Linked DNA regions of Rattus norvegicus. The protein of the gene in region 2 binds, or shares a complex with, the protein of the main gene of each other region. Links are inferred from orthologs where the notes say so. Each region holds a gene or a part of one and is shown on either strand. Other genes may lie near its edges.

Region 1 (16,050 bases), on a different chromosome or scaffold from region 2:
ATTTCTTGTGAGCTAAGGTCTGGAGATGCCCAGATCAACTTCCCATAGGACCAACACTTGAACTGCTGATCCTCCTGCCCTCACTCTGTAGGGTTAAGATTAGGATTACAGACTTGTGGCCCCATGCCCTACTTTATCTAGTGCTGGGATTCGAACCCTGGACTTCCCAGGAGCTCAGCAAACCCCACAACCAACGGAGCTGCATCCCAGACCCTTCTAGCTTTAAGTTTTAATGACTCAAAGCCTGAAAATATACCAAAGCATGTTTGAGGGAAAATTCTATCTTCCTTCCCAGCCATTTTTTTTAAAAGATTTATTTATTATATGTAAGTACACTGTAGCTGTCTTCAGACACACCAGAAGAGGGCATCAGATCCAATTACAGAAGGCTGTGAGCCACCATGTGGTTGCTGGGATTTGAACTCAGGACCTCTGGAAGAGCAGTCTGTGCTCTTAACCCCTGAGCCGTCTCTCCAGCCCAAAAGTAACTAGCACACCACGTGGTTCCACCGGGGCCTTCTGCGTGTAAAGCAGACGTGATAACCGCTACACTATGGAACCAGGCCACTTTTTTTCAAGATACAAAATAAACTTTAAGAGGCGCAGTGAAGAAAGCAGGCGCAACAGACTCACCTTCTGGAAACATGAACCTAATCTCTCGTTCTGAGGCCGCAAAGTCGTTGCTCCCGTGAAGTGCATTCCTTAGCTCATCTGTGCCGTATATCGCCCTTAAGCTAGAGAGAATTAAAGACACTGTCCCTCCATTCTGACACACCTTCCATCCTTCCCATTAGAGAGTTCGAGGGAGGAGGCACAGGAGGAGGTCAGAGGACTACTCTGGGAGTGGTTCTTCCCTTCAAGGTCATGGGTCCTGAGTTCAAATCCAGATCTTTCTGCTTGGCAGCATTCACTTTACCCACTGAGCCATCTTGCCAGCATTTTTTTCTAATTTTTTTTAGACAATTCATCACTAATTTAATCTTAAGCTTTTAATCTACTTAGATGAGGGCCAAATACATTTCTGTATGCCAGTAGCATCCACTGTGGAAACAAGCAGTCTTTAGGGGAAGAAAGTATTTTATGAGACATGAAAAGAAATATAAATTCAAAACTGCAATAACTTTCATTTCTGGAAACTAGTGCTCATGTTGCAATAGCCTTGGCTGGCCCAAAACTCTCAGAAATTTGCCTGCCTCTGTCTCTGAAGTCCCGAGGTTAAATGTATGTACCACCATCTCTGGAAAACAAAATTTAAAAAGTCTTACTTTCTTATTAAAGATCCTATTTCAGGATCAGTGAGTTGCTCAGCTGCTAAAAGCACTTGCCACCAAGCCTAATGATCTGAATTCTGTCCTTGAACTAATAGGGTGGAAAAGAAGAAAATCCCACGAGTTGTAGCTGACCTCCACGTGTGCAAGACACACATGCCCACAAGCAATAAATAAATAAAATGTAATTTTACAAATCTGACTTCATAGCTATGTGCTATATATAACCCAGCACCGATTTCGGGGACTGGGGGTTGGTGGGGGTGGCTGAAGTAGGAGGATGGTCACAAACTCAAAGCTAGCCTGGGCTACACAGTGACTTATAGGCCAGCTTAGGCTACAGAGCAAGAACTAGTCTCAAAAAACATTAAAACAAATAAACAAAAGCAGGGTGGTGGCAGTGTATACCTCAGTACTCGGAGGTGGAGGCAGGGGGAATCTTTGTGAGTTTGGGGCCAGCCTGGTCTAAAGACCAAGCTCCAGGACAACACAGAGAAGCCCTGTCACAAACAAACAAACAAACCAAAATCAATTAATCAGGAACTCGTTCTTTAGAGGCAGTTTAATGCCAGGCTGACCAGCAGTCAGTGAGTTGTTCTCTGCCGCCCTCTACAGCACTGGATATTAAGATAGATTTGCAGGGCTGGAGAAATGGCTCAGCGGTTAAGAGTTCCGACTGCTCTTCCAGAGGTCCTGAGTTCAATTCCCAGCAACCACATGGTAGCTCACAACCATCTGTAATGAGGTCTGGTGTGTCTGAAGACAGCTACAGTGTACTCGTATACATTAAATAAATAAATAAATAAATAAATAAATCTTTAAGAAAAAAAAAGATAGATTTGCAATGTTGAGGATGTCAAATCCACTGCCCTGCACCAGAGAGAAGTTCACGTAGGAAACTTCCACAGGCTGGGAGGCCTGAGTGTGAAGATGGCAGGCTCTGGCTTTTTTGTTTCTTTTGTTTTCTCTCCTTAAGGCAGGCTTCAATCCCTCAACCCACTTTCAATGGGAATTACCTGTCCGGGTGTGTCTCCTTGGCTAATAAACTATTAGCTGGTCCCAAAAGTTCTTTCCAGTAAGAGATGGCATTATGTCTAGCTAATATCATAGCAACAAGAGGTCCAGAACTCATATAAGCTGTTAAGTTTGGGAAGAACATTTTCCCATACTGTTCCACATAAAAGTTACTACAATGCTCAGGGCTCAGGTGTAGTTTCCGCCTCTGTAAACAAAACAAAGTCGACAAAAGCTCATTAAGACATTAGTACCTTGCCAGGCATGGTGGCACATGCCTGCAATTATCTTTGTGTTATTACACAGAAAGTAAATGGTGATTAAATGTGTTCAGAGGAAGTATTTATCCCACTTAAATAAATGATTCCTGGGCTGCGGCCAAGGCTGAGGTTCTGAGTTCATTCCCCAGAATTAACAGGAGGGGAGGAAGAAAGAATGGATTCCCTCAATTTTTTAGACCACCACCACACACACACACACACACAAGTAAATATAAAAATGTTTTTTTGGGGTTTTTTTTTTTGTTTGTTTGTTTTTGTTTTTTTTTTTGGATTACTCTGTGTAGCCCTGGCTATCCTGGAACTCACTCTGTAGACCAGGCTGACCTAGAACTCACAGAGATCGGCCAGCCTCTGTCTCCTGAGTGCTGGAATTAAAGGTGTGTGCCACCAGCACCTGGCTAAAAAGATCTTTTTGAAGAGTGTTTCCTGAGCAATCCTGAGGACCAGAGTTTGAATCTTGGCACCTACGTGACAAGTAGGATGTCCACCAGACACCTGTAACTCTAGCTACAGGGAATTTGATGCCCTCTCCCGGCACTCTTGCACACATGTATGTATACACACACACACACACACACACACACACACACGCTCACACACACACACACGCTCACACACTCGCCCTGCAATCAAGGCAACCTTGGTCTACATAGTGAGTTCCAGGCTGGCTAGGGCAGAGACCCTGTCTCCGGAACAATATTCGCTAGTTTACCTCCAGACATGGTATTAAAGGGTCTAAAGATTCCCCAGATCACATAAAGGACTATTCTGATAAACTCTACAGCCAGTTGCCAAGAAGTCAAGCTCTCACATGACTCCTTGCTTGAGTCCACCCCACCTCCCTGTGTCCGGTACACGAGCTGCTTGTTTGTTTGTCTGTTTGTCTGGAGACAGGGTGTTATCATGTAGCCCAGGCTGACTGCCAGTGTAATCCTGCCTTCCTCTCCCTAAAAGGGGCTCCTTGCGTGCCCAGCAGCCACGCGCCCTTTCCTCAGGCGTGCTAGCTCCCGCAGTATGATGTTAAATATTTAGAGTTCAGCTTTAAAGTTGTAGAAAAAAGTAACGATTCTACTTTAAATGCTTTAAAATGCGATCAGGTTTGAATCGTTTGAAATTCAGTTTGAGAAACATCGATATCAAATACATGTAACAGAACACATAGTTTTCGACAAAGAAGCTACTGCCCTCTGCTGGACAGAGGGAGAAGTTTTCAGAGCTGTCCAAGAATCTACCACAATAAAGCCAAACAAACCTTAAAAACATCCTCAATTCCAACGACCTAAAATAGCCGGGAGAGTCACATTTCTTGACTTAAAAACTAAGACAGTGGTTACTGGGGGCTGGAGGAGGTGGACACACAATACATCTTCCTCCCTCTCTAAAAGTAAGGTCACGGGCCGAGAGGTGGTTCAGTGGTTAAGAGCATCCACTGCTCTCCAGAGGACAGGGGTTCAATTCCAAGCACTCAAATGGCAGCTCACAACTGTCTGTAACCCTAGTCCCAGGGGATCTGACACCTTACACAGACATACATGCAGGCAAAACACCAATGCACATGAAATAAAGAGAAAAAATCTTAAAAAAAAGTTCACGGCTCCAGCTTGAGATGAGAAAATACCGATGAATACTGTTGAAGGCCACAAAACAATGTGGGTTTATTTAATGCTGCTGCATTGTACCTTAAAAATTATTTAAATGGTACAACTGATGTAGTATGAATTTTATGGAAAAAAATTAAAGCAAAACAAAGACATCGCTGTGTCGCAGCAGCAGCAGCAGCACAGACCACAGCCAGCCAGCCTAGCATTCGCTGCTATGTATCTGCTAATTGCTTGTTATGTTCTTGTTTTGAGACTGGGTCTCTCTGTGTAGTCTTGGGATGGCCCAGAACTCACAGGGATTCACCTCCCTTTGCCTCCTGAGTGCTTGGATTAAAGGTGTGTGCTACTGTGCCAAACTCTTGAGTTTTAATTTATAATAAACACAAGCCACTTAATTACAAAGTCTATTTATCAGTGATCGTTTTTTAATATGGATTTAAAGAATTAGAAGATGGCTCAGTGAGCAGAGGAGCATTGGTAGCTCAAGTGTCAGGGCCTGGGTTTGGATCCCCAGAATTTCCCTAATGGCCAACATTGTAGAGTGACTTTGTAACCCCTGTATACCTCTAGAGAGGGTAGTTGGAGATGGGAGGCACCTTAGAGGCCTATGACCCATTAGCCTTGATTTTGCAGTAGCAAACAAGAGAGCCTGTTCCAAACAACAAAAAAGGTAAGGCCTGGCGCCTGAGGTAACTTGTATACACACATAAACACACATACATAAACACACACACAATACACACACACATACAAATACACACATATAACCACACTACACACACATAACCACACACACATATACCTATATACCACCACCACATACATAAACACCCCCACACCTCCCCAAACATATAACCACACCACACAACACACACATATCCACATATCCATTTACTCTACCTACCACCACAAGCAAACACATCCTCACATACAACCACACCACACACAGAGAGAGAGAGAGAGAGAGAGAGAGAGAGAGAGAGAGAGAGAGAGAGACAAAGAGAGGGAGACAGAGAGAGAGACAGAGAGATTTTTTTAAAGGACTTAGCCAGGCAGTGGTGACACACACCTTTAATCCCAGTACTTTGAGTTTGAGGCCAGCCTGGTCTACAGAGTGGGTTCCAGAACAGCCAGGGCTACCCAGAAAAACCCCGTCTTGAAAAATCAAAAATAAATGGGATAAATAAATAACTTTAAACATCTTCAGTGTGCAGGGTACAGAAGTCAGAGTTCCCTCACCTTTCTAAAAATAAACCTGTAACACTTAAATCAAGCTAGGCATAGTGAGTGGTACATTGTGTGTTATCCCAGCACTCATGAGCCTGCAGCAGAATAACTGAAGCCACAGGAGCTACTTAATGAAGTCATCTTAGAAAACAAAACACAGGAGAACACCTTAATCTGAGTTCTCATGAAGGAGAGGCAGGAGGTCACCTGTGCTGGAGGACATCCTGGACTATGTATCAAGAGACTTCCTTTGTTCACTTTGGATTTTTTTTTCTTTTCTTTTTTTCGGAGCTGGGGACCGAACCCAGGGCCTTGCGCTTGCTAGGCAAGTGCTCTACCACTGAGCTAAATCCCCAACCCCCACTTTGGATTTTTAAACAGAGTCTCATGTAGCCAAGGTTAGCCTCCAACTCACTATGTAGCTGGGGATAACCTCATTAAATGTCCGGTCCTCCTCCTTTAGTCTTCTGAGCACTGGGACTTCAGGGTCTGCACTGCTGGAAGATACGGTTTATACTTGCCAGGCACATGGTCCACCAGCTGAGCTGCACATCCACCTGAGAACTTGAGTTATTTGCTTGTTTGTTCAGACAGGGTTTCTCTGTGTAGCCTTGGCTGTCCTAGAACTTACTATGTAGAGCAGAGATCTGCCTGCCTCTGCCATCTCTCTGGGATGAGAACCTAGATTTTTAAGAATCTTTTTTCCTCAAGTGTTTGTTTATCTATTTTTTTCTTCTAGAAGAAGCTACAAACACAATTTACTATTTTTGGTGGAGAGGGGTGGTAGGGATTGAACTCACAGCCTTATGCTTGCTAAGCCTGTACTCCAGCACTGGGCTACACCCTGGCCCCACCTAGAAGTTTAATTTTTAAATATTTAGATCCATTTATAGCTACCTCAGAAAAAAAAGGACTCAAATTTCATAACATTTATTAAAGACTTTGTGTTCACCTGAGTATTTTCTGTGCCATCTCAACTCTGTCAAAATCTCCCCACTATGTCATCTCTGTGGGTGACACATGCACACGTCTGTGTCCGTGTGTATATGCACACATGTGGGGGTGCAGATGCCACATGTGTGGAGCCAGAGTCCACATTGGGTGCCAGCCGCACTTGCTCACCACTTTGCGTCTCCCACTACCTCAAGCTGGCCAAGTTGGCAAGACTACTTGGTCCTCCTGCCCTGCCGCCCCAGACGGAGATTATATCCGGGTGCTGCCATCACACCTGGCTTTTACATGGATGCTGGGAATTTAAACTCATGTCCTTGTGCTTGCTCAGCAAAAAATAGATAATATGATACTATATAAGAATTTTAAGTCAGTGTTACAAGTTTCACTATGTAACCTTGGCTGGCTAGGAACTTGCCTTGAACCCAACAGAAACACACATCTCTGCTTCTTCAGTGCTGGGATGAAAAGCACAGCACTCAGCTACATATGCATTTAAAAGAATAAAAATAATGTTTTATTCTCTTAGAATTGTAGTTCAAGTGAAAGTCAAAGAAAATATTACAAGCACTAAGTTCCACCTCATCTATTTGTACACTTGTCTTTTAGTTAGAGATCTTGTCTACTAGAGGACAGTTAAGAACTCTGTGAAGCCCAAGATAGCTGGGAACTCAAGATCCTCCAGTCTTACCCTGTCTAGGGTTGGGATCACAGGTCTATGTCACTACTTCCAAGGCCTGCATCCCCGTACCCCAGGCTGGTCTGGGACTCACTGTGAAGTCCAAGTTGAGCTCTCGATGTCCTCTGTGGTGCTTGGCTTCTTTGACCCTGTTTACCAACTACAGAACAAATGTTGACCTTAAAACACTAAATGTTTGCTGTGTGTGGTGGTGCACACATTTAATCCCAACACTTGGGAGGAAGAGGCATTTGGATCTCTTTGAGTTCCAGGCCAGTCTGGTCTACAAGTGAGTTCCAAGCCAGCCAGGGCTATACAGAGAAGCCATTTCTTGAAAACAAAAACAAAAAGAAAAAACAAAACAAAACAAAAAAACCTACTGACACTAGGAACCAAAGTATACACAGGAATACTGCACATAATTCAGAAGGGATAAGTAGATTCTGGTTTAATGATCCAGAATGTTAGAAACACCCAGGAGAAAGAATGTAGTTAAGTCATTGCCTCTCCCTAGAGCTGACCTGCAGAGGAAAAGAAAAAGGCAGCATGCTTCTTTTATGTCTTATTCTATATCCTTACAAGTGTGAAAACTTGTCTGTTATTTGTAACGTGTTTTTGAGACAGGTCTCACAGAGCCCAGGCTGAACTTGGAAGTCAGTACAGGGCTGACCTGCCTCCATTATCTGATTCCGAGATTACAGGCATGTGTGCTTACATGCGCAGTTTATATATAACCTTTATATTTATAAATGTAAATTTAATGTTACTAAGGATCTAAACGGGTGGCTACATTTATATAAGTATAGTGAAAACTAATAAAAGAGACGCCAGAAGTTACCTGTATAATAGTGAATCCGGATCTCAAGATAATATCGCGTATCTCTTCTTCTTTATCAACAATATCTGGCTTGATAAGGGCTAGGGTTTTTTCTACATATATCTGAGGCAGGGGCATTGATACCTCCATTCTGGCGTTTTCCGGTACAATTTACAAATCTCCTGACCAGCTATCCGCAGCAACGACACGAGTCCCCGTCCCAAAATCAGCCTGTGGCAAAATCTGGTACTAGATTTGATTAATTTATAAAAATGGAAAGCACTATGCTTTTCTACGTATGCTTTTGCAAGAATACGACTTATACAGAGAAAGGGGAGCCCTAGCCGCTCGACTGAGGCTGGAGGCTGGATGGCATCAGTGTTGCTCTCCAGGAGTACGGGAAGGCCCTAGCCGGCTGCCCTAGCGAAGGGTCCCCACCTTGTAGGGACCACTTTGTACAGGCTTAGGCATGACAGGAAGGCAGGGTCCCAAAGTTCTCGGGAAATCTCCACCTGAGACCCTCCCAGCACTGGCCTCAGTTCAGGTGTTGTCAGAGCCCGTTCGTTGCTAAGAGACCGAAGCTGGTTTCCTAACGGTGGCTGCAGAGGCCCAATCCCAGCCGCGTTTTTTTTGTTTTTGTTTTTTTTTTTGTTTTTTTGTTTTTTCTTTTTCCTTTTTCTTTTTTTCGGAGCTGGGGATCGAACCCAGGGCCTTGCGCTTCCTAGGCAAGCGCTCTACCACTGAGCTAAATCCCCAACCCCCCCTTTTTTTTTTTTTTAAGACTCTAGTTAATTTTAACCTAAGGCAATAATTAGCCGTGTACATTTTATTCTCTTTGAGTCTTAGAGTACTACACACATTTCTCTCTCTCTCTCTCTCTCTCTCTCTCTCTCTCTCTCTCTCTCTCTCTCTCTCTCTCTCTCTCTCTCTCTCTCTCTCTCTCTCTGTGTGTGTGTGTGTGTGTGTGTGATATGGAGGTAAGAAAACTTTGTGGAGTCAAGTCCTTCCTGCGTTTCTGTGGTTTCCAGGGACGGAACTCAAGTGGTCTTCTTTACCCTTTGAGCCTTAGCACCAGCTCTTCTCTAATTGATCTCTTTTCTTCATGGTACATGCTTGAAGGATGCATTCCTTATCTGTAAATGAGATAAATCAGACACCTCTCTCGGTCCACTCCAGTTCCTCCTGGTCATTATATGAAAGACTAATGAGAAATTTATTATTTACTCTCTCTTTCCCTCATTCCTTTTCTTTTTCTTTTTTTCTTTCTTTCTGTTTTGGGGTGTGGGTGGTGGTGCTTGGGATCAAACCTGGGCAAACAATTGACCACTGAGCTATATTCCCAGCAAATACCTCCTGTGCTTCACCATATGATGCTGCTCCCATCATCCAGCTTATTTAATCATTTAGAAGCCCCCTTTGCAAGGTCAGGTAGTCTGGGGTTGAGTTCCTCTAATCCCAGCACTCCATGAGAGGCAGAGGCTGGATGCAATGGGGGTTTCCAGGAAAGCCTGGGTTTTGATGCTGTGCCCCAAAAACCAAACAAAATCTTTAGTTTGCAAACTATTTATTTATAGAGAAACAAAAGGTTCAATCAAATTACTTTTAAGTCTATGCAACAAAAATGTGGGCAATATTTACATCATAAATCCAGATCTCGGTACCCTACCCCACCCCTTTAAAAAATACTACATTGCAAGCACCGTTGACTTTTGAGGTAGGAGGTGAGGCATTACTATCCTTATTTGAAAAGTAGTGGAGAAGAGAAGTTTCCACTTCTTCTCTGGCCAGTCCTAAGGAGAGCTGTAACTTGAGAAAGAATCAGACTTGTAGTTCGAAGCTAACAAAACAGGCTTCCTTGGTCCACTGGATTAGCTGCACTCATTCCAGGCTACTCAGGTCCTTCCTTTTATCCAGCCAAGTACTCAGAACCTACAGGAGGAATGCAGACAGGAAGCCATGAACCTTAAAGCCACAGAGCAAGTGTATGAAATTTTATTTATTTTTATTGTCAAACAGATAAAACTACACCTTTTAAAGTTTGATGCTTCCCAAAAGAGAAACCCTTACATGTCTCCTTGAACTCACTATGACTTCTCCTCCAAATATGGGTCGGATACATGTACATTAATGTCAACAGTCGGGGCTGGGGATTTAGCTCAGTGGTAGAGCGCTTACCTAGGAAGTGCAAGGCCCTGGGTTCGGTCCCCAGCTCCGAAAAAAAAAAGAACCAAAAAAAAAAAAAATAATAATGTCAACAGTCACAACAAAAGAGACATGGACAGTGGTCCAACACCTGACTGGCTTTCAGTCTTACAACTCGGGCCTCTGAGAACAGAAGTATCCATCACTTGCTCATCTCCTGCCATTTTTGCTGCTGGCCTTCCCAGACATCCTTATCCCACTGTGTGTTAAATCTGGGCCCATGAGGACAAGGAGCTTCCCAGTCACAAGAGAACACCCACGTTTACCACAGGCTCTGCCATCATCTCTGAAAAGAAACTCTAAGAACACGAGGTCACTTCCATTACATCTTTATTCACACAGGCTTCTGAATCCCACTCCAGAATCCATGGCTCCCTGCCTTGTGGCACTCTGTGTTGTACAGTACCTGGATCTGCTCCAAGACTTCCCGCTGCATCTCCACCGCCATGTGGTATATGTGATGATCAGAGTCATTGTACATCACGGCATTTTGGAACATTAGCATCAGATCCCTCTGGAACTCAGCCATAGTGTGAATTCGTCCCTTAGACAGATTCCTCTTCAGCGTTGTTAAGTCCATGGGTCTGAGGAAGGGAGAGGAAACTAAACCTGAATATGTAAGGTCTAATGAACTAGTATTCTGGAGGCAGGGCAGGAAGATTACCATGAGTTTGAGGACAGAGGGAGGTACACAGTGATTCTAAGTCAGTGTGAGTGAGAGACCCTGTTGCAGAACAGACAGGACAAACAGGCAAAAACCGTAGTGCCTATAGCAAGCTCTTGAGAACTGGGTCTTAGTGAACCTTAGCGACTACAGGGCTTTGTTTTGCTTCTGTTTTCCTCTCTCAACTTGATACAAACTGAGGTCATCTGGGAAGAGGAAACCCCAATTAAGAAAATGTCTCTTTAGACTGTCCTCCAGGCATGTAGGAGCTGTTTTCTCTGGTTTGGTTTGGTTTGTTCGGTTTTGGTTTTGGATTAATGGTGCATCTGGGAGAGTCCAGCCCACGGTGGGTAGTGCTACTCCTGGGCAGGTGGTCCTGAGTTCTGTAAGAAAGCAGGCTGAGCAAGCCACAAGCAAGCTGGTGAGCAGCACCCTCCATGGCCTCTGCTTCTGTTCCTGCCTCCGGTTCCTGCTCTGAGTTCCTGTCCTGACTTCCCTGGATGATGGCCTATAAGCAGTAATAAAACCTTTTTTTCCCAGAAAGAAAAAAAAAAGAAAGAAAGAGAAAAACCTTTTTTCCCAAGTTGACTTTGGTCATGTTGTTTACCACAGCAATGGAAATCAAACTAGAAACTAGCAAAGATAATACTTTTCACACAATAATAAAATAGCAGACCACACCTGATCCTTTATAAAGGTCAAGCACTACACCGAGCACATTCCACAGTAAATCACTCAATGAACACACAATGTAGGCATCACTTACCATCATCATTACATTTTAGAAGCAGTGGATATTGAACCTAGGATAGCAGTTCTCAACCTATATGTCACAACCCCTTTGGGGATCGCATATCAGATGTCCTGTACGTTAGATAACTTACATTATTACAATTCCAAACAGTAGCAAAAGTACAGTCATGATGTAGCAACAAAATAATTTTGGGCAGGGGGTCACAACAACCTGAGAGATTGTGATAAAGGTCACTGTATCAGGAAGGTTGAGAACCACTGCCCTAGTACCTTACACATCCTAGGCAAGTAGCTTCTCAATGAACCTTTGTCCCAGCCCTCCTTTTATATTTGTACAGACAAGGTCTTATGAAGCTGCCAGGCTGGCCTTGAACTTGCTCTTCTACTGCATTGTCTCAGGGAGTTAGCCTCTCAGGCTTGCTGACCCAAGGCACTCTGTGACTGCTTTTTTTTGAGATGGGGGTTTGCTGGGCATGGTGGCATCACTTTCTGCCCAGCCCTTGGAAGCTGCAGGGCCATCTGTCTTGTCATTGTTTATGCTGGCCTACACTTGGTGATATTCCTGCCTTAGCTTCCAGAGTAAGAATGGGTACCACTGTGAGGCCTGAAGAGATGAAGTGCTGCTCCTTTCTGGCTATAACCATGGGAGCACCAAGGAGAAGAAAAGACGGTTCCTGATGTGCTAGAAACTCCTATTTTTTCCCGCTCCATCCCCTCCCACCTCATGCTATAAAATCTTAATAGAAAAAGACATTTCAGAGTTGAAGACAAAGCTGCTCAAAAGAAATATTCCCAACAGATGCCTCAGAAGACAGAGGACGCTTACTGTGGAAAACAGCAGCAGCAAACCCACCCCGTCACAAGGAACACACAGATGTACAGAGCCGAGACTCCAGATGGCAAGACTAGCTGGAGACCTCTGTGTCCTTTGCAGAACTCAAATTGGCATTTGTCACCAGAATCAGAGGTGTCCTTGCTGTGGTCTGAGTGTAAAATATCCCCTACCATCCATGTGTTTGAACAATTGGTCCCCAGCTGACTGAGCCACTTAAGAAAGTTGTGGAACCTTTAAAAGGTAGAGCCCTGCTGCAAGAGAAATGTCGGGGGAGCACAGACTTCATGCTTCTCTCTCTCTCTCTCTCTCTCTCTCTCTCTCTCTCTCTCTCTCTCTCTCTTTCTCTCTCTCTCCCTGCTTCCTGTGGACCAGGCAGCCTGTTCTCTCCTGTTCTACTCCTACACCTTCCATGACATGATAGACTAGCTACATACCAAGTACTCAAATATTCTGATTCTGTGGAGGGCACTTAAAGTAACACCATTCATTCCCTTTCTCCATAAGTTCACAGGGTAACTGTCAATCTGAATACATTCAGTCCAACTTCAAAAATCCCCATAGTTCCTACAGTGATAACACTCTCAAGGTTCAGAAATCTAAATCTGAAATATCTAAAACTCAGGTCTCTCGTCTGGGACAGGGTTTTACAGTGTGGCTTTCCTGGGAGGAAGAGACTAGCTGTCTCATCACCAAGCCTGTAGGCACTTTTATCTTAGACTTTTCAGGTTGCAAATCCATGGGAAATAAATTTCTGTTGTTCGTAAATTATTCACTTAGTGGCATTTTATTATAGCTCAAATGTGTGTGTGTGTGTGTGTATGTATCTGTGTATTTGTGAGTGTGTGTGTGAATGTGTGTGTGCATGTGACTGTGTATGAGTGTGTGTGTATATATGAGTGTGTACCTGTGTGTGTGTGTGTGTGTGTGTGTGTGAGAGAGAGAGAGAGAGAGAGAGAGAGAGAGAGAGAGAAAGAGAGAGAGAGAGAACCTGCCCACAGGAAAGCCAGAGGTTGACATTAGCGTCTTCCTCAGTTGTTCTGTGGCTGACCCTAGAGCCACTGTTCTATCCAGACTGGCTGGGATCTTCCTGTCTTCAAGCCCCAGCAATGCAACTGTAGGTAGGTGCCACTGCCACTGGGCCTAGCTTTTTACACGGTGCTGGGGATCCACTCAGGTCCTCATGACAGCAAGGTCAACACTCACTGACAGAGGCAGACTCCATTATGGCAATGTTTTAGATGTACTATGCTAACATCCAAAACTCTTCACTTAGCCAATGTTTTTAATTTCTAACATCTTTATCTTAATATGTCTAAAAGTATCTTCCTGAATGAACACAGGGACTCCCTTAAAATTTCCTTTAAGAAAATATTATCAAGGGGCTGGAGAGATGGCTCAGTGGTTAAGAGCACTGACTGTTCTTCCCGAGGTCCTGAGTTCAAATCCCAGCAACCACATGGTGGCTCACAACCATCTGTAATGAGATCTGATGCCCTCTTCTGGTGTGTCTGAAGGCAGCTACAGTGTACTCATGTATAATAAATAAATAAAATATTTAAAAAAAAAGAAAATATTATCACATGTGGAAGGACCTGGGGATTGGTGCACACATATGTAATTGTAGCACTGTGTAGACTGAGGCAGATACATCTCCAGTTAGACAAATGGCAAACACATTTTAAAACAAACATTAACAACACCTGTAAATCTTGTACTCAAGAGGTAGAGGCAGGAGGCTCAGGGGCGGGGGGGAGTTCGAGATCATTGTCAGCTAAGTTTGAGCCCACCCTGGGGTACACTGTCTCAAAAACCTATAATCTCAGTCAGCAGAGAAGCAGAATGGGAGGAAATGGAACCCACAAGTTTAAAACCAATGTAGATAATGTTGGGGCAGAGAGCAGAAAGCATGTTAAAAATTTTTTTTTCTTTTTTTCGGAGCTGGGGACCGAACCCAGGGCCTTGAGCTTTCTAGGCAAGCGCTCTACCACTGAGCTAAATCCCCAACCCCATGTTAAAAATTTTTAAGTCAGAGCTTCACTGGCTGTAGAATATATCTTGAGTTTGTGAGTACCATAAATAAGATAAGTAGCCCAGGGCTGGAGAGATGGCTCAGTGGTTAAGAGCACTGGCTGCTCTTCCAGAGGTCCTGAGTTCAAATCCCAGCAACCACAACCATCTGTAGTGGGATCTGATGCCCTCTTCTGGTGTGTCTGGAGATAGTATACTTATATATCTTTATAAGTAGTAAGTAGCCCAATAGAAAATAAAGACTGAAAAGACAGATAAAAGCCTGTACTCACTTCACTCCCTTCAGACTTAGAAGCAGAAGGATTAGGAATTCAAGGTCAACTTTAACTATGAGGCAACCCACAAGACAAAAACAACAAAGAGCTGAGCCAGCCTGGGGTTGTAGCACAGCTGACAGTGCTTACCGAGGACGCACTAAGCCCTGGGTCTAACCTTCAGCGCCTGGTTATAAGCCTATGATCCCAGAACTCAGGAACTGGAGTCAGGAGGGTCAGAAGGGCAATCAAGGCCATCCTCAGCTATCTGGTCAGTTTAAGGCTACCCCGGGCTCTAAACAAACAAACAAACAAAATAAATAAATAATAAAAAGTCGACCAACCTTTGCCTTGGCCCCTTCCTACTGACCTTTTCACCACATCCTTGTATCCTGGGGCCTGCTTTTCTGATACAGGTTTCAGAAATGGGCTGCTAAACCTGTTAAGAAACAAAGCCGCGTGGGTGGAGAAGCTGCTGCTGAGTCAGTCGTAAAGAGATGGGCTAACAGAGCTAGGCATGGTGGCCCTGCAGCACTAAGGCAGCTGAGAGAGGAGGATCACCAAGAACTGGAGGCCTGCCTCGCAACAGCATATGACTTCTAGTTCTAGGTGAGCCAGACTACAGAGCCAAACCAAACAAGCAGCAATGATGACGTTTGTCTTCTTGTTGACGTCCCAAACAGGGGCAGGGGGTCCAACCTGCAAAATATTTTACTATTATTTTTTTTTTTTTTTTGGTTCTTTTTTTCGGAGCTGGGGACCGAACCCAGGGCCTTGTGCTTCCTAGGTAAGCGCTCTACCACTGAGCTAAATCCCCAGCCCCAATATTTTACTATTATTATAGTCTTCTCTCCTCTTCTCTCTCTTACTTCTTCTTTTTTTTTTTTTTTTTCAGAGCTGGGGACCGAACCCAGGGCCTTGCACTTGCTAGGCAAGCGCTCTACCACTGAGCTAAATCCCCAACCCCTTCTTAATTCTTTTGAGACAGGTTTTTTATTGTAGCCCTGGCTGTCCTGGAACTTGCTTTGTAGACCAGGCTGGCAGGCTGCCCTCACAGAGCTCCCCCTGCCTCTGCCTCCTGAGCGCTGGGATTCAAGTGTACCACCTATGCCATGCCTGGCTCATAGAAATCTTTTTAAATTAAGGGCTCAAGGGGTTGGTAGAGCGCTTGCCTAGTAAGCGCAAGGCCCTGGGTTCGGTCCCCAGCTCCGAAAAAAAAATAAAAAAAAATTAAGGGCTCAAAAATTGGTTCAAGTTTTCCAAGATCCTGATTTTTAGTTTCCCTTTTAAAAATATTTATTTTGGGGTTGAGGATTTAGCTCAGCGGTAGAGCACTTGCCTAGCAAGCGCAAGGCCCTGGGTTCAGTCCCCAGCTCCGAAAAAAAGAAAAAATAAATATTTATTTCATGTTATGTGTATGAATGTTTTGAGTCCAAATAGATATGTGTACATGTATGTAGTGCCCACAGTAGCCAT
Region 2 (15,971 bases):
AGGTGAATGAAGAATGCAAAATTAAGATTATACCATAAATATAAATAAAAAGAAAGCAGAAAGAGAAAAAGTGTACAGATAAATATGTCAACATATTTGACATATTCAAATACAACAGAAAAAGACAACACAGAGAAGAAAATATTGAAAATCAAAACAAACTTTCAGTTTCCTCCCCTCTCCACTTTTATATATTGTAATAGAAAAACAGATTGAATACAGAAATATAGACAAGAAGAACCAATTGTCATGCTCTTCTAAAAGGAGCCCCATATTTACCAATTGCTCCATGCTCTCGTTTTCCTTGTACTTATAAATCCACAAGGCTAAATATTCAATGGGATCCAGTGGGCGAACTCTTGCAACTTCCGCAAGACCTTGAGTTAGGCAGGTCCCCAGGCACTGTTGAAGGTATCTTGACTCCATTTCTAACTCCTAAATAAAACCAGCCACAGAAGTTTTTCATTAGCGCCAAAAGTGTTCTGAGTAGGCACAGTTCAAAGGAAAGTGGAGGTTGGGAAGTCAGTGGGGGCACACATCTTTAATCCCAGCACTAGAGAGACAGAGGCATGTAGAGCCTGGTCTACAGGGAGAGTTCCAGGACAGCCGGGGTGACACAGAAAAAACCTTGTCTTGAAAAACCAAAACTAAGCAAATAAGCAAAGAGTGATCAAGGGAGGCCACCTGAACATTCTACTAGGCCACTAGTCGTGGTGCTTCTTATAAGGCATGGCATAAGCAAGTTGGCCTCAGGAAGCTTCAAACCATCTACAAGAGAACTCAGCAGTAGCCATAGTTATATTAGCTTCTACATCCCAAAGGCTCTCCAGCTTAGTCCCAAAACCAGGATGAGACATTAGCATTATTAATAGCACTGTGCTAAGTAATGCTGGTGCCAGTTTAAGCCTACCCCATCCGAGGCAACTGGCAGATAAGGTGCTAGACTCAGAGAGCTTGACTGAACAGCCGTGAGCTCTTGGCTGGCAGATTAATGGAGGGTTTGTGCTCACTTCTTGACTTCACGGTCATAACTCTAGTGGCTCTAAGGTGCTTCTCCTAAGCACTTCAATAAAACATCACAAACTGTCCATCTCCTCTGTAAAATCGTGTATTGTCGAAGCCAGAGGATATCAGTTCAAATCCCAATAAACAGCAAGGGTTACTCATAAACTTCTGTGTTAGTCAGGGTTTTCATTGCTGTGAAGCAACACCATGACCAAGGCAACTCTTACAAAGGGGAGCGTTTAATCGGGGTTGGCGTACACTTTCAGTGGTTCACTCTATTATAATCATGGCAGGAGCACGGCAGTGTCCGGGCAGGCATGGCTCGGAGGAAGCTGAGAGTTCTCCATCTTGATCTGAAGGCCTCCAGAAGATTGTCAGTTTCAGGTAGCTTAGGGGGAAGCTCTCCAAGCCCAGCCCCAACAGTGACACGCTTCCTCCAACAAGGCCACTCCCTGGGCCAAGGATATTCAGACAAGCATGTTCCACTCCCTTGCCCCCATAGGCTTGTTCAAATATGGCCTGCGGGGACCATACCTAGCCATAGAATAAAGCAAATACATTTCTTCCAACTTCAAAAATCCTCATACTCTGTCACAGTTTCCTCAAAGTTTAAAAGCCCAAGTTTGAAGTCTCTACTGAGGTTCATGAAATTTCTTAACTGTAATCTCCTATAAAAATCAAAATAAAATATCAGATCATATACACATGGCACAGTACCAAAGCAAACCCAAAAACCAGCTGAGCAAACTCCAAACTCCATGTCTCCAAGTCTGATATCCAACTCCTTTGATGACTACAATAACTTCTCTCCCCTGGGCTGGTTCCACTCCGTTGGTAGCTTTCCTTAGCTTTGACGTCTCTAACATCTTGGGGTGTCCGAGGCAACGTCAACTTCACAGCTTCTTGTTCCAATGACAGAGTCACACATGATCTTCTGGGCTCCTCCTAAGGGCTTGGGTCACTTCTCCAGCTCTGCCCTCTGTAGCACTCTAGGCTCTGGTTGACTCCACTCCACTGCTGCTGCTGTTCTTGGTGATCACCCCATGAGACGGGTGTCTCCAATTCACTGGAGTCTTCTGTTGCAACTAGGCTTCACCAGTAGCCTCTCATAGGCTCTCTTCATGGTGCCAAGCCTCAGTTTCTTTGCATGACCCCTTCAGTCCTGGGCTATCAACTGCAATTGAGGCTCAATCTTCACCAATGTCCTTCCCTCATCTCAGGGCCTTGCCTCAGCTGCTCTCCATGACCACTTTATTTCTTCCAAACCAGTACCACCTGTGTGGTTCTTACCCATTCCAAGTCCAGCTGCAGCACAAGGTGCAACCCGGAACACAGGTTCTGGAACACAGCTTCTTTGTGCTCTCAAAAAACACTTCCCAGATGTTACCTCACTGATATTGGTCTCTTCTTACTCACCACTAATTTCTTAACTGCAGCTAATCAGCATCAATTTTCCCAGTAGTCCTGTCTAGTTTTGACTCTACAGCCAGAGCTGTGTGGCTGAAGCTGGCGAGTCCTGCTGCTTGCCGAGGCTGGAACATTGCTCCCTCGTTCTATTACATTATTACCAGCCTTCTGTTTTCCAACTCCTTCACTGCTTAAGATTAGCTCTCCTGGAACTTGCTCTGCAAACTGAACTTCAACTTAGAGATGTACTTGTCTCAGTGTCCTGAGTTCTGGGATTATAGGTATGTACCATCACACCTGGACCTAAGCTTTCCTTTACTTAGAACTTGCTCCGTAGCAGACTGACCTTGAACTCAGGTATCTGTCTCTCTGTCCTCTCTTCTCTTCTCTTCTCTTTTCTCCTCTCCTCTCCTCTCCTCTCCTCTCCTCTCCTCTCCTCTCCTCTCTTCTCCTTTCTCCTTCTTCTCCTTTCTTCTTCTTCTTCTTCTTCTTCTTCTTCTTCTTCTTCTTCTTCTTCTTCTTCTTCTTCTTCTTCTTCTTCTTCTTCTTCTTCTTCTCTTCCTCTCTCTCTCTCTCTCCCCCCCCCCCCCGCCCGGGATTAAAGACATGTACCATAATGCCTGGACCTAAGTTTTTCATGGTCACTGTTCCTCAAGATCTGGATCAAAAGCATGTGTCATTCTACATCAAGATCCGAATCAAGCCTGTCTCTTCCAACCTTAAGACATGGATCACAGGTGTACTCTCCATTTCTGGACTGTAGTTCATTCTAGACTAAAAGTCAAAATGAAAACAATAACCAGGTAACAATACCTAACGTGATATATAACTATTCCTTGTCCAACTGCAAACACATAAACAATAAGCTTAGCTGGGTGGGATCTTGTCCTGAGGTCACCACTCCCTTAATCTATTTAATATACTTGAACGCAGGATTTCATTCCATTGCACTTCCTGGTGCCCATTTATTATTTGAACCATACATCTTGTAGTTTTTCTTTTTAGGCTTGCTATGCTTAATCAGAGCAATCTTCATGACAGTAATCCAGAGGACAAAGTCTATGCTGGGTGTTCCTGAGACTTTCTTTATCAGTGTGATTAATCTGAGTCCTTTCACCTGAGTCTCAGACAGACTCTTCAGACAAGGGAAAAGAGCAGCAACATTCTTCACCAAAGCATAAGAAAGATCTCCAGAGTTCAAATCACCAATATCTTCTATATTCCTACTAGGACGAACCATTAAGCCTCACTTGAAGCATTCCATGGCTTTCCAAATCCAAAGTCCCAAAAGCCACATTCCTCCAGCCAAAACCATGGTATCACAGCGATCCTCAGTCTCTGGTATCAGCTTCTGTGTTAGTCAGTGCCCGTGACCAAGGCCACTATTATAAGGACAACACTTAATTGGGGTTGGCTTGCATTTTCAGAGTTTCAGTTCATTATCCATAAAGCAGGACCATGGCAGTATCCAGGCAGGCATTGCAGGAGAGAAGCTGAGAATTCTACATCTTAATGTGAAGGCCTCCAGGAGAAGATTGGCATCCTCCTCAGGCAGCTAGGAAGAAGCTCTCAAAGCCCACTTTCAGAGTGACGCACTTCTTCCAACAAGGCCACACCTCCTAACAGTGCCACTCCCTGGACCAAGCATATTCAAACCACCACAGCTTCCCTTAAGACTCACCTCAAGCACGTCCCTGTCATCATATATCCTGGGCTCTTACCCCACTGAATATCCTGCCATATTCTAGCTATCACACTGTGCTTTCCCATCTCAATAATCCTTTCCTCTCTACTCTTGGAACATACCTCCTCCTTCGAGCCACAGATCATGTCTGGCTCTGGAGTTTTGTCAAGCAGTACAAGGGAGTTTCTCCTACTTCAAGTAGCTCATACAGCCCTTGTCATGCTGCCTACAAAGTGTATAAGAGAGTGTTAGTATGTGTGTGCATGCATGCGCATGTGTGTGCCCTGCTGTCTCTCCATGGTGGCAAGTAATCAAACGTGTGCCTACTCTCAGCTGTTCCCCAGTCTTTTCAGGTATGAAGGCAGATACGTGAGTATTTTTTAGGGTGACTATTTCTATTTATAGTTATATAGGATAACAGACCAAACAAATGATCCCACCCAAGCCCAGAATTGTGACCCAATGAGATTAAAAGACCAGAATATGTTCACCATTGCAGTTCTCGACTCCTGTCTCAAAGGTGCAGACTCAAGACTGGAGTGACATGTGAACGTGGTTATTCACACGTTATTATTATAGTCAGACTGAAAGTGCTGTCTGAATGTCCTGGCAGGGGATCAATTACATACAACACCATGGAATCCAGCCACAATATAAGGGGCTGGAAATGCTCTCTAAAATAGGCAGTGGTTTCCTAGTGAGGCACAATGCAGGAGGAAAAGGGAGATGTAGAAATTGCTCCTGCTTCCAAAGGAATATACACGTGTATGTATAGTGTAGCCCTAAGAACGACTGGAGCTGGCACAAATACGCTGATTTCCAACTAGATTGGCACTGGTGTCCTAATCACAGAGAGACAAACACGGCAACTGACTGGGCTGTGTCTTCACGGTGCTTCTTCTGTGGGAAATTCTCTATAGATAAGATCACCACATGGACGTATCAGTGTCATTTATATACAACATGGAATACACTCTTCCTGCTGCTCCAAAAACATAGGATCTGGGGCTCTGGCAGCTGCTTAGCGTTCTCCGTGGGGCTTTCATGAGGTCCCTCTGTCATCTCTGCAACATACATTTCCTGGTCAGGTTAGGAAACTACTAGCCATCTCTTCTGTCCTAAGAAGTGTTATTTCCCAGCAAACACCAGTGCTCATCCAGCTTCACAGAAGAAAGTCCGCTCCCACAGAAACATCTGGAGCAGCTGCTCTGAGACAATGGAGGAGGTTCTCTGCCAGGACCTGGGAAGAGTGCTGGATTCGGCACTCAAAACCACCGCAGACCTAATTTCTGAGAAACAATGAATAATTGTCTTATATATATTTGTGCTAGCAAGTAACCTGCTTATCTAAAAGTAAATTTCAATCAGGCAGCCACCAACCTAGACACTTAGATTAGTTTTCCTATTGGGTGGCTAGAGGGCGGGAGAAGGAGGGGGGGAGGAAGAAGAGAAAGAGGAGGAGCCGGAAGAGAGGAGGAAGGAGAAGGAGTCCTTGCGCTCCAAAGGCTCTTACAGGAGAACTAACCCTCCCTCGGATTCTGAGTTGAGACCTACTTGACTCTCAAGGTGAAAATTTTAGAACTGCTTCTGCAGAGACACTAGAGGGCCGGTTCGAAGGAAAACGCTCCAGCCTCCTTGGTGCACGCATCCGATGCACGTTCTGGCCACACGCCAGTGAGTCGCGTCCCGTTGCCTGGCAACGAGAGCACGCTCTAGTGTAGAGCTAAGGTTCCATTGCAGCCCAAGTAGTGGAGGCAAAGGGAAATGAAAGGAGAATTCGCACTCTAGGGGAGGGGGTGCACTCTCGATAGAGCCAGGAACGCGCACTGTAGGGGAGGGGGCACGCAGATGGGAGAACCAGATTTATGGGAAAGGAAACACTGTGGAGAAACAGCGGGAGGAACCCAGCAGACACGGGGACTCTTCTTAGATAGGAGCCTTGTGGAGCAGCAGATCTTTGAAGTCAGGAGAGACACTTTCAAGGCTGCAGGCTTGTTGGCTTGGTAATTTTAAGACCTTTCAGAGTGAACTCACGGGCTGGAGAGATGGCTCAGCCGTTAAAGGCTAGGCTCACAACCAAAATATCAGAGTGAACTCACACACAAGCAACTTCAGCTAGCCCAAAGACACCCTCCACCAGGCTCTAGCTTGCACTCTCCCCTGGTGTGCGTGGTTAGTTCTTGTCAATGTGACACAAACCTAGATATACCTGGGGGCAGGAAATCTCAAATGAAGAATTGTCTCCATCAGATTGACTCGTGGGCGTGTCTGGGAGGCATTTTCTTGGTTGCTAATTATGGGCATATGTCCACTATGGGGAGTGCTTGTCCCTGAGAAGGCAGGCTTGGGCTGTGTAGAAAAGGTAGCCGAATCAGCCAGAGAACGAAAGCCTTCCTTTCATGGTTACTGTTTCACGCTCACTCTCCCATTGCGTTGCTGGCTTGGCTTTCCTTGATGATAGACTGAGTGTAATCTGTAAACCAAATAAATTCTTCCCCCCTCCCCCCGGGTCATAGTGTTTACCAGAGCAACAAAAAGCAAACAATGGGCCTGGCATTGCTCGGTGGTAGAGGCTTGCATAAATGCAAGAAGGGACGCTGATGGATCAACAGAGTCTGAGCCCTTCCTTTGCCCACCCGCCCCCAACATCAGAGCACTCAGACATCTTTACTCGGTACTGAATGTGGGACAAGTGCCAGGGGTGGTATCCTCAGAGGGCTTGTCGCGTTTAAGCAGTGCAGCAGTCACTCAGTAATCCAGGCATGGAGAGACGCTCTGGCAGTGCATTGGTGATTCTGTGCTGGGATTCTACGAGAATAGCGAGAGGATCAGTGACTGGGGGTTGCACTGGGGATTTCGTCGAGCCACACATATATTCAATCTAAGATATCGGAAGTTGCACTTCACCAAACAACAACTCCTCGTCCGATCACATGAAGCAGCAGGGATGTGGAAAACTTAATCCACACAAACCCTTCTGTATGTTCCGTTTCCCTGTCTTCTGACTTCTAGAAGCTGTCTCTGGACATGATCTTGACTTTCATGCTCCTTCTTCCATGTGTTTTGTCACTCTGCCACCCTCCACGTCTGGCCTTACTGACACCTCTGGCAATTACAGCTGTGCCTATGTGGCGCTTTCCGTGAGAATGAGCCCGAGAGGCTCAGATATTTGAATGCTTGGTTGACAGTTGCTGCAACTCTTTTGAAAGGCTTCGGAGATGTCTTGTTGGAGGAGGTGTGTCACTGGGGGTGGACTTTGAGGTTTCAAAAGTCCACAGCAGGCTCGCTCTGTCTGCCCCTACCTCCAACGTGAAGACAAGCTTTTGAGAACTGTTCCAGCACCGTGCCTGCTTGTGCCCATGCTCCCAATCCCATGGCGGCTGTGATTCCCCCTCTAAAACTGCAAAGCTTCAAGTTAAGTGCTTTCTTTTGTAAACCGTCTTGATCGTGGTATCTCTTCACCACCAATAGAAAAGTAACTGAGAGGTCCCGCTTGTATAACACACACTCCTTATTTAAGATCCTTAATCACAATTCCAAAGCCCCCTTTATCATACAACATAACATCCACAGGTTCCGGGTTTGAGATTATGGGTTCCTGTGGAAGCAAAAATGTAGCACTGGAATAAGCCTTCAAGATGGCTCCTGTGTCTACATTGTCAGAGTCTTACTTCCTGGCATAATAAACTGTCTCTGGCTGCTTATATTTTTTTTTGCCCCAACCCTGGAGCCAAACTTTTCCTTAAGGATCTACGATCCCTTAATTCATGAACAATATTTAATCCCCCTTTGCAGCTGGGTATGGTGGTGCACACCTCGCATCCATCACTGGGAAGGGATCAGCAGGAAAAAGCATGTTCAACCATGGTGGGCTACCTAGGGAGTTGCTGGCAAGCCTAGCACAGTGAAACCCCGCCTCATGGAGAAAAACAAAGAAACAAAGAGTGCTGGCAGCATTCACTGCTCCTGGGGTATTTGCGATTCTAGACTCTGATATCAGTGAGGGGTAAAATGTATTTATATTTTCTATACCAATGTCTAGTTATTCAGTCGTGAGCTGAAAAACTGGGAATATGGAGGCTTGGTGCTAGGAACATATGTTGACAAAATCTTGTTCCGTAATAGCTCCTGTTTCTTAAATTCTTGCTGTATGCCAGGCTCAGTGCCTTTCACGTGATCAGTAGCTCCATTCGCTCCTTCCATATTGTGAGGTATGTATTTTACTTCTGTTTTCTAAAAGGTGCCAAGACTCTGAGACACCAAGCAACTTGCTGACGAGCACACCGCTGTAAGTGGCAACACCAAGACGTGGGCTGTCTGGTGCAGGTCTCTGTGCTGCTGTGGCTCTGCTCTGGTACTGCAACTTCTGTGTCAGACGACATTATCTGCCACTCTTGACACCTATTAGGAAATGCAGGATCATCCGCTCTCCCTAAAGCCGTGCTGTGGTATTGCATGTCAGATGAGGCTTGGCAGGCCCATCATTTGCAGGCCCATCATTTTCTTCCTCCTTCTCTCTCCCTGTAAAGTAAATGAGCCTCTGCTGTCTATGTCATAGAATAGCTTCCAACCTCACAATAGCACAGCTTGCTGTATACACAGAGTTTCTCTCCAGGGCCTTATTTTCTCTGTACTTAAGAGGGAATATTGTGTGGGTTGGTTAAAAGTCTTCAGCACCCTTGACTAATAATGAGCCAGGCCCTTTCAACACTGATGACCACTGGGACTCCTGGTCTGACGTATTCTAGCTGAAAAGCTGAAGAAGCGGGCTTGAACGTAACAGCGATCGGCAAGGGTGATTTGGTTGGTTATTCTAAGAAAGGTAATGTTACGGTTTGCATCTTTTAAGTGACCCCCAAAGTCTTGGTTGCCAGTCTGTAGTTTTAGCTCCAAATGAAATCACAGTTCCTCAAACTCCAGAAGGCAGTCCGAGTATCCAGAAATGGGTCCAGCTTGAACTATAGGAGAACTTGTGGTGCTTGTTAAGAGCCAGCATGCTGCAGGAACTTGTGAAGCCAAAGCCAATTCCTCTCTACCAAAAAAAGTATGTTCCCTTATCACTGGCAGAATGTGGTGCCTATTAGCATACCAAAGTGCATACTGGCCTCCAGGCTCCCTCAGTGTCACACGTAGTGTTTCAAGGTTCATGCTAGCATCCAAGGTCTTCTCACCTTCTCTCCTACCCTAAACTCCATCATGGGCTTCCCTTCCCCCAGCTACTCATTCTCCTTATAACCCTGCTAATCTTGGTATACGTTTCCTGCCCCACTGTGTCCTCCTCTCCCATGCCCTGCTCCTGCTTCTTTCCCGGCCAGGTCCAGTCCACTGGCCACGTTCAGTCTGCTTCTTTCTCTGTCTCTCCCCAGCCTCTCTGCTCCTAACATTTCCAGATGCCTCTGGCTGTTCTCTCTCTCCTATCTACAATAAGAGCCTTCCCTGACCCATACTATGGACAGTCATGCCATCGGTTTGTACGTGTAGTATTGCTGGAGGCTGATGGAGTCTTTAATGGGTAGGGTCTACTGGAGGAAGCTGTATCAGTAGAGCGTGCCCTGAAGGGAACTGCAGGATTCTGACCCTTTATTCTCTCTCTCCTTATTTTCCTGAGGTAGCAGCTTTGTCCTCATATGTTACTCCACACCCTGAGGTTTCTTCTGCTTTCCAAAGGCCCCAAATCAATGAAGCCAAGTAAATATGAAGGCTTGGGCAAAAGTAAACCTTGTCTCTTTAGTTGATTATCTTAGCCTTTCTGTAATAGCAACATTAAGTTTGCTGATACAGAAAATCGGCACCATGAAGTCAGGCTTATCGCTCTGATGACTTGCTAATGTGCTTCAGAAATCTTTGGAACTTGAAAATTTTGGAGAAGCAGGCCTACAGTGCTATAAGCAGAACTCGATGGGCAGTTGTAGCAAGGGCTCAGAAGACCAGAGTACTAATAAGGATATAAACTGAAGATATGACTGATTGATGGTGTGGGTAAGGGGAGGGTTTCATTGTAGATGGAGGGAGAGAGCAGCCAGAAGTATCTGCAGAGTCCAGAGCATAGAGAGAAAGAAGTAGGCTGAACAAGAAGAAGTAGTTGACTGGACCTGGCCATTAGAGAAGCAGGAGCAGAGAGATAAGAGGAGAGGGGTGGGTGGAGAGAGAGAGAGAGAGAGAGAGAGAGAGAGAGAGAGAGAGAGAGAGAGAGAACACGAACATGAGGAGAAGGCAGGAGAAAGAGAGCACATAGCTGAAAAAGCAGAGTTATAAGAAGAATGAGTACCTAAGACGGGGAGGGAGCTGTGAGCTGGGGGAGTTCAGGTAGGGGAGGAGGTGAGAAGAGGAGGCTGGACTTTGAAGTGTGTGACAGGTGCTTGTGACACTGAGGGAGGCTGGAGGCCAGCAAGTGCCTTGGTGAGTTAATAGAAGCCATGGGAATTTGGGGAAGTGGAGCTTTCTTTGGACCTGACACTAAGAATGTGAAGACAGTGTGGAGCCCACAGACAGGTTCCTGAGGTTCGGGTAGAGAGAAGCTCTTACTGAGAACTCGACTGGAGGCCCTTTGTGTTGTATTCTGGCAAACTGCTTGTCTGCATTTGTCCATGCCCGGCAATTTTACATGAGACGGAGTTTAGATGTAGGACTAACCTGGCAGGAGAAGTTTTCAGACAGTCCAGCATTCAGGCTAAGTACTGCAGGCTGTTTATTGCCAGGTTTACCATGAGATTGGGGAGTGAAAAGTAAAGAAGAAAGATTCGAAGAGCTTGCAGTTGAAGGAGTGTTGCATTAATTATTAACACTACTCAAATCGTCCTGCCAGTGGCTGTGGCGTGGGTTCCTTGCCACTAGCCAAAGTGCTCTGGATTCTCAAATGAAAGACACACATGCACGTACACAGTGCACGCACACACACAGCCTTTTATTTTAATACGCCTTAAACAGCTCAATGGCTGGACCCCTCTCAAACTTCTATGTAGCTAATGCCTCCCCTCCAATACTTCTAAACCATTACTTACTAAAAGCCTATATTTTATCTTTGCTATCCAGACCCAATCGGGGGAGAGGCCCCCGGGTCTCTGTTTTCCACAGCTCTCGAGCCTGCATCCAATTCCTTTCCTGGGCTGCTGATTCCCAAATCCTCCTCCTTCCTGTGATTCCCTTGCCCAGGAAATCTTAAGTCTCAAAGTCCTGCTTCTGCTTCCCTGCTCAGCCCTTGGTCACCGGCAACTTCATTTACCCATTAGAACCAGCTGGAGGAAGGGACCCTCAGAGTCTCACACACACCAGATGTGCAAATTCCTGTGAATTTGGAAACCCAGTTAACATAATATAAGCAAATCCCCAACAGAGGAGGAGAGGAGAGTCTCTACAGTCACAGCCAAGCAGGAGGTAATTGCCAGGGAAGTCACATCCTTAGTGGTGGGCACACCGTGACTCACAGCACTCGGGGGTTTGAGGAGGCTAAGGAAGGTGGATCTCTATGAACTTGAGGTCAGCCTTGTCTACAGAGATGCTGTCTCTGCTGTCCCCTACCCCCAGCCCCAAAGAAAAAGAAGTGGACAGATATCTCACATCGGCACAATTGAAAGGATCCTTTGAAGGCATCTCAAGAGTCAACGATGCTCTATACATCAAAGATTTCAAAACATGATTGACGAAGTCATGGAGTTGCATAGCTCTGGGAACACAGGAAGCCCAAGGAATTACTTTTTCATGACTCATTTCCCTGTATTTAAACATCCAGTCGTCTGCAGTTCTGATCCAAGTGGACCCCCCACACCCCCCATACTACTCGGTTCTGTAATTGTGGTTTTGCCCATGTCATGTTGGTCTTTCAGGCATACAGAATGGATGGGCTGTAGGGTCGTGAAGGCTTCCACTTAAAACTCAAAGGAGGCCCTGGAAGACCAGGTAGTGTGTGACAGGACAGAATCCCTGCAGGCAGCTCCAGAGAGGGCAATATCTGAGGCTGTGAGGGTGAAGTGGGGGAGGACCCAGAGATGCCAGAAATGTGGACAGGTGAGCTAGTCCCAGAGAGAGGCCACGTGGACTGCAGCCAGGCAGGCGTAGACAAGAGACTGCCCAGCCCTTAACTTCCATTATAATGCTACTACGCTAGTAGACATGGAGTTACAGGATTTCAGGTTTGCCTTTCTGGGCTTTGGTCTCGCTATGCTTAGATTCCAACATGGCACCCTTTCCTGCTTTACGCTTTAGTCGAAAGTTTTCTCTGTGCAGCTGTCTCTATCTCTTCTCCCTCTTTCTCCTCCTCCTCTTGTTCTCCTTGCAGTATTGAGAATGAAACTGGAGCATGGTGTATGCCAGCCAAGTGCGCTACCACTGAACTATGCCCCTGAGAATGTTGCACTTTGAAACAGGGTCTTACTAAGGTGCCAAGACACTTGAAGTTGGTCTGCCACCTAGGAAGACTTTGAGCCGTTGATCATCTTGCACTGGGCTCCTAAATGACTAGATGTCTTCACCATCAGGCTTGTGTTGCAGGAAAAATTAAAACACGCTGGAACTGGTTCCTGCGCATACCCAGGCAGTCACACTCTCTTGATTGTTCTGGCTCCAGTGGGCCATTGGAACTAGCACTAATTATCTCAGCAGCTCCATGCTGTCCCCATCTACTTTCTGACCTGCTGTCCTTGAGCCATTCCAACATGGCACCCTGTCAGACCGCCCCACCCTCACTCGCAGCTGTCTTGGCTGGTTTCCACCATGCCAGGCATACACATCCCAAGTCTGTGGCAGCCCAGTGCATCCGGCCACCATACACTCTCTTGAATTCCATTAAGTTGCCACATGAAAGAACACATCACACAATATCCTCTGAGGCAACTGATATTATATAATTTGCCCATCTAGACAACACAAAATCCATAACAACCTGTAATAAATGCAGAGAAGAATCTTAACATCTACTGCCATGTTCTCTCAGTTTCAGAGGCAGGCAGAAGCAGGCAGATCTCTGAGCTTGAGGCCATTCTCTTCTACCAAGTGAGTTCCAGGACAGCCAGGGCTAATACAAAGAAACCCTGTCTCAAAAACCAACAAAAACAAAACCAACCCCCCCCAAAAAAACAAAAAACAAAAACAAACAAACAAACAAAAAAAAATGAGGGAAATACTCCAGAGACTCTTGACAATATACTGAGTGTATCTTTCATTGTAAGGTAAGTGCCCATCTTGGGAACCAGTGGCACAATGTTGTGATTCAGATCTTAAAGATTCCCCCAAATGGTCACATGCTAAAAGCGTGTTTGTGGATGTGGCAATACTGGGAAAAAGCAGAGTCCTTAAGACAGAAAGCCTAAGACAGGGAGCCTAGTGGAAGGAAATTAGGTCATTGGGTCAAACCATTGAAGAGCTCTCTCTCTCTCTCTCTCGTTCTCTCTCTCTCTCTCTCTCTCTCTCTCTCTCTCTCTCTCTCTGTGTTGTAAGGGAGGGGTTGGGAGTGTATGTCCCTCCCTTTCTCTTTTCCTCCTTTCTTTCTTTCCATCCTTTTCCTAAAGTGGGCTGGTCTTACCTACCATATACCCTTTCTTACAAGCCAAAAGAGATGGGACCAAATGTCCATAGAGCCAAGCCTTTCCCTCTTTAGTTGATGAGATCAAGCATTTCGTTACATTAACGGAAAGCTAATACTAAGTGTGATCCAAAAATATTTCTTATTTTTCCTGGAACAAACCTAACTTGTGAGAATGGACCTACTTTAAAAGTTAGATTGTGTTTGTAATTAGAGTATCCGATTTGGTGTTTCCCAGGTCCCCAGCATGGAAACTGCTTACCTGAAGAAATGCTTTGGAAACACCCTGACCCAGGCACTGGCAGAGGTGGCAAGGGTGCAGCCAAATGACCCAATAGAGTACCTGGCTCACTGGCTTTACCATCACAGGAATATAACCAAAGCTGAAGAGAAGGTGTTGTGCACTGGGTCTGCTGAGGGAGGGTGCGGCTTGCTCAGAACAACTTGGAATCCAAGTCACAGTCCTGAGCTGGCCCGGGGGTGTTTGACTCATATGCCTTCTGAGGATTGAGATGTCCTAGCTGTATCTGAAATATGAGGACTGGGGGGGGGGGAGGAAATCTAGCTCAGTGGGTTGTGGGGTTGGGTTTGCAGTTACTGCTAGCTAATGCTTGCAATCGGAAGTTCAGTAGGCTTCATCAGCCCAGGCCTGCCTCAGATGAGGGAAAGCTCCCTTCTAAGGGATGTGACCTGATTGGTCTTTCTCGTATTCCTGCAGAAAAAGCAAGAGGAGCTACAACTTCAAGAAGTGCATGACAGCAACTCCAAGGAAGCAAAAGCTACAGCAACACTGAAAGAAGGAAGCTATCAGATTAAGCAGAAGTGTGAAAAGCGTCACCAGGTAGGAAGGAGGAGTGGAAAAGTCAGCTCGGCCTCTCTCAGCCAGGGGTCAGAAATTCCTCAAGGTGCCTAGCACAGGGTAAAGCATACTGAAGCTACCCGGGGCCTGCTTGTCCCTCAGAGCCACACACACTAGGCATAGTAAGTGACTCCCGTTGACATCTTGCCCACAGAATCCTTGAAAATAGAAAAAAAAATGAATGTGAAAAGGCAAATTTAAATTTTAGATTTTAGAAAATGTCATGAATACAGCTGGCTTTAAGAACTTCAGATTTAAAATACTTTTTCATTCGAGTTCCTTAGAGCCCCCTAAAAACATTCCAAAGTTTTCAGAAACTAGATATGATTGTCGATGGATATATTTGATACATTATAGTTATTCCATTTAGTATTTTATCTCTAGATTATGACTATCTGTGTGTCAAGCGTCAGGCATGCCCTCTATGACGTACGTAATGCAGACATCAGTTACCAACTCCAGTTGACAGCAACTCTGCCCTCTTCAGATTGGCAGTCAGAACTTGAGTATCCCACAGTCTTTTCTACAAACCCCTAAAAGCTGTGCCATTTCACACAGAATTAGAAAATTCACTCAACTACAATACTGGGATTGACACCAGACAAGATGTCTTAAATTTCTTTTTTTTTTTTTTTAGTATTTTTTTAAAGATGTATTTATTTGTTTGTTTATAAGATTTACTTATTTATAAGAACATTGTAGCTGTCTTCAGACACACCAGAAGGGGGCATCGGATCTCATTACAGATGGTTGTGAGCCCCCATGTGGTTGCTGGGATTTGAACTCAGGACCTCTGGAAGAGCGGTCAGTGCTCTTAACCGCTGAGCCATCTCTCCAGCCCAAGATTATTTAATAATCAATATGTCCTCAATATCCTCAGTGAGGTCCTCTACGTTTGCCAGCTTTGCTGGTTCCCAAAGCCAAATCAGAGGACACTGAGATTGTTTACATTTGATGCGAAGAGACTCCATAGTCTAATAACTCTCATAATCAGCAGGCTTATTTGTAAGGCTTGCATGTCTTGTCAATAAATTAAAAGGGAGATGCACTAAGTTTGGAAGCCTGGGCTACATGGAAAGTTGAAAGCCAGTCTGACAAATAAAAGTCTTAAGGAAGAGCTGAAACTATATTTCTGTGTTAGAGAGCTGGCTGGTATGTATAAGGTGCTAGGTACAATCCACCAGAATGAAAGGATGGGGAAGAAGAGGGAAAGAGAGAAGAGAAGGAGAGAGAGAGATTCTCTACGTAGTCCAGGAACTCATTGTGCTAAGAATTGTAGCCACACGCTACCACGCCTACCAGAAAGTTAGATAGTACTTTTGACAATCACAAGAGTCCAATCCAGGTACTCCAAGGCAGCTCTGATTTTGGGTGTTGCAATATATATTTTGTGTAACTACATTGCGTAGGTCTCAAACTTGAACTTTGTAGTATCTGAGGGTTGGGCATGCGTGAGAAAGAACGTGCCCTCCAGGGTCCATTCTTTGAACAACTGAGAT

Evidence for each region.
Region 1: the proteins of Dydc2 (region 2) and Nme5 are in contact, whole or in part, in a cryo-EM structure (PDB 8X2U), measured with the Mus musculus proteins. The link is inferred for Rattus norvegicus from reciprocal best matches to the Homo sapiens genes DYDC2 and NME5. Residues at the interface, in NP_001347537.1 of Mus musculus: Asp2, Tyr5, Leu6, Cys9, Phe10, Gly13, Leu14, Leu18, Val21, Ala22, Arg23, Val24, Arg25, Pro26, Asp28, Pro29, Ile30, Glu31, Leu33, Ala34, His35, Leu37, Tyr38, Tyr40, Arg41; in NP_542368.2 of Mus musculus: Arg140, Ala145, Val146, Ile147, Ile151, Pro152, Ala156, Ala157, Tyr160, Ile161, Tyr164, Val165, Thr168, Leu169, Leu173, Leu176, Cys177, Lys180, Pro181, Asp183, Pro184, Tyr185, Leu186, Leu188, Ala189, Asp190, Leu192, Met193, Asn196, Pro197.

Annotation. Positions count from the first base shown.
Region 1 is NC_086036.1:26,446,439-26,462,488, forward strand, and holds the start of Nme5 (NME/NM23 family member 5), read right to left. Parts: upstream 8,391-16,050; 5' UTR 7,989-8,390; coding exon 7,860-7,988; intron 2,491-7,859; coding exon 2,285-2,490; intron 2,101-2,284; exon of another isoform or gene 735-2,100; coding exon 634-734; exon of another isoform or gene 1-633. Other genes in the region: Brd8 (bromodomain-containing protein 8), read right to left, coding at 9,717-9,767, 10,447-10,624, 14,945-15,013. UniProt on the Homo sapiens protein: Functions as part of axonemal radial spoke complexes that play an important part in the motility of sperm and cilia. Does not seem to have nucleoside diphosphate kinase (NDPK) activity.
Region 2 is NC_086034.1:16,965,613-16,981,583, reverse strand, and holds the start of Dydc2 (DPY30 domain-containing protein 2), read left to right. Parts: upstream 1-5,597; 5' UTR 5,598-5,662; exon of another isoform or gene 5,663-5,804; intron 5,805-6,305; exon of another isoform or gene 6,306-6,555; intron 6,556-6,662; exon of another isoform or gene 6,663-6,770; intron 6,771-8,336; 5' UTR 8,337-8,384; intron 8,385-8,550; exon of another isoform or gene 8,551-8,918; intron 8,919-11,325; 5' UTR 11,326-11,470; intron 11,471-13,851; 5' UTR 13,852-13,860; coding exon 13,861-14,007; intron 14,008-14,331; coding exon 14,332-14,454; intron 14,455-15,971. Other genes in the region: Dydc1 (DPY30 domain-containing protein 1), read right to left, coding at 280-426.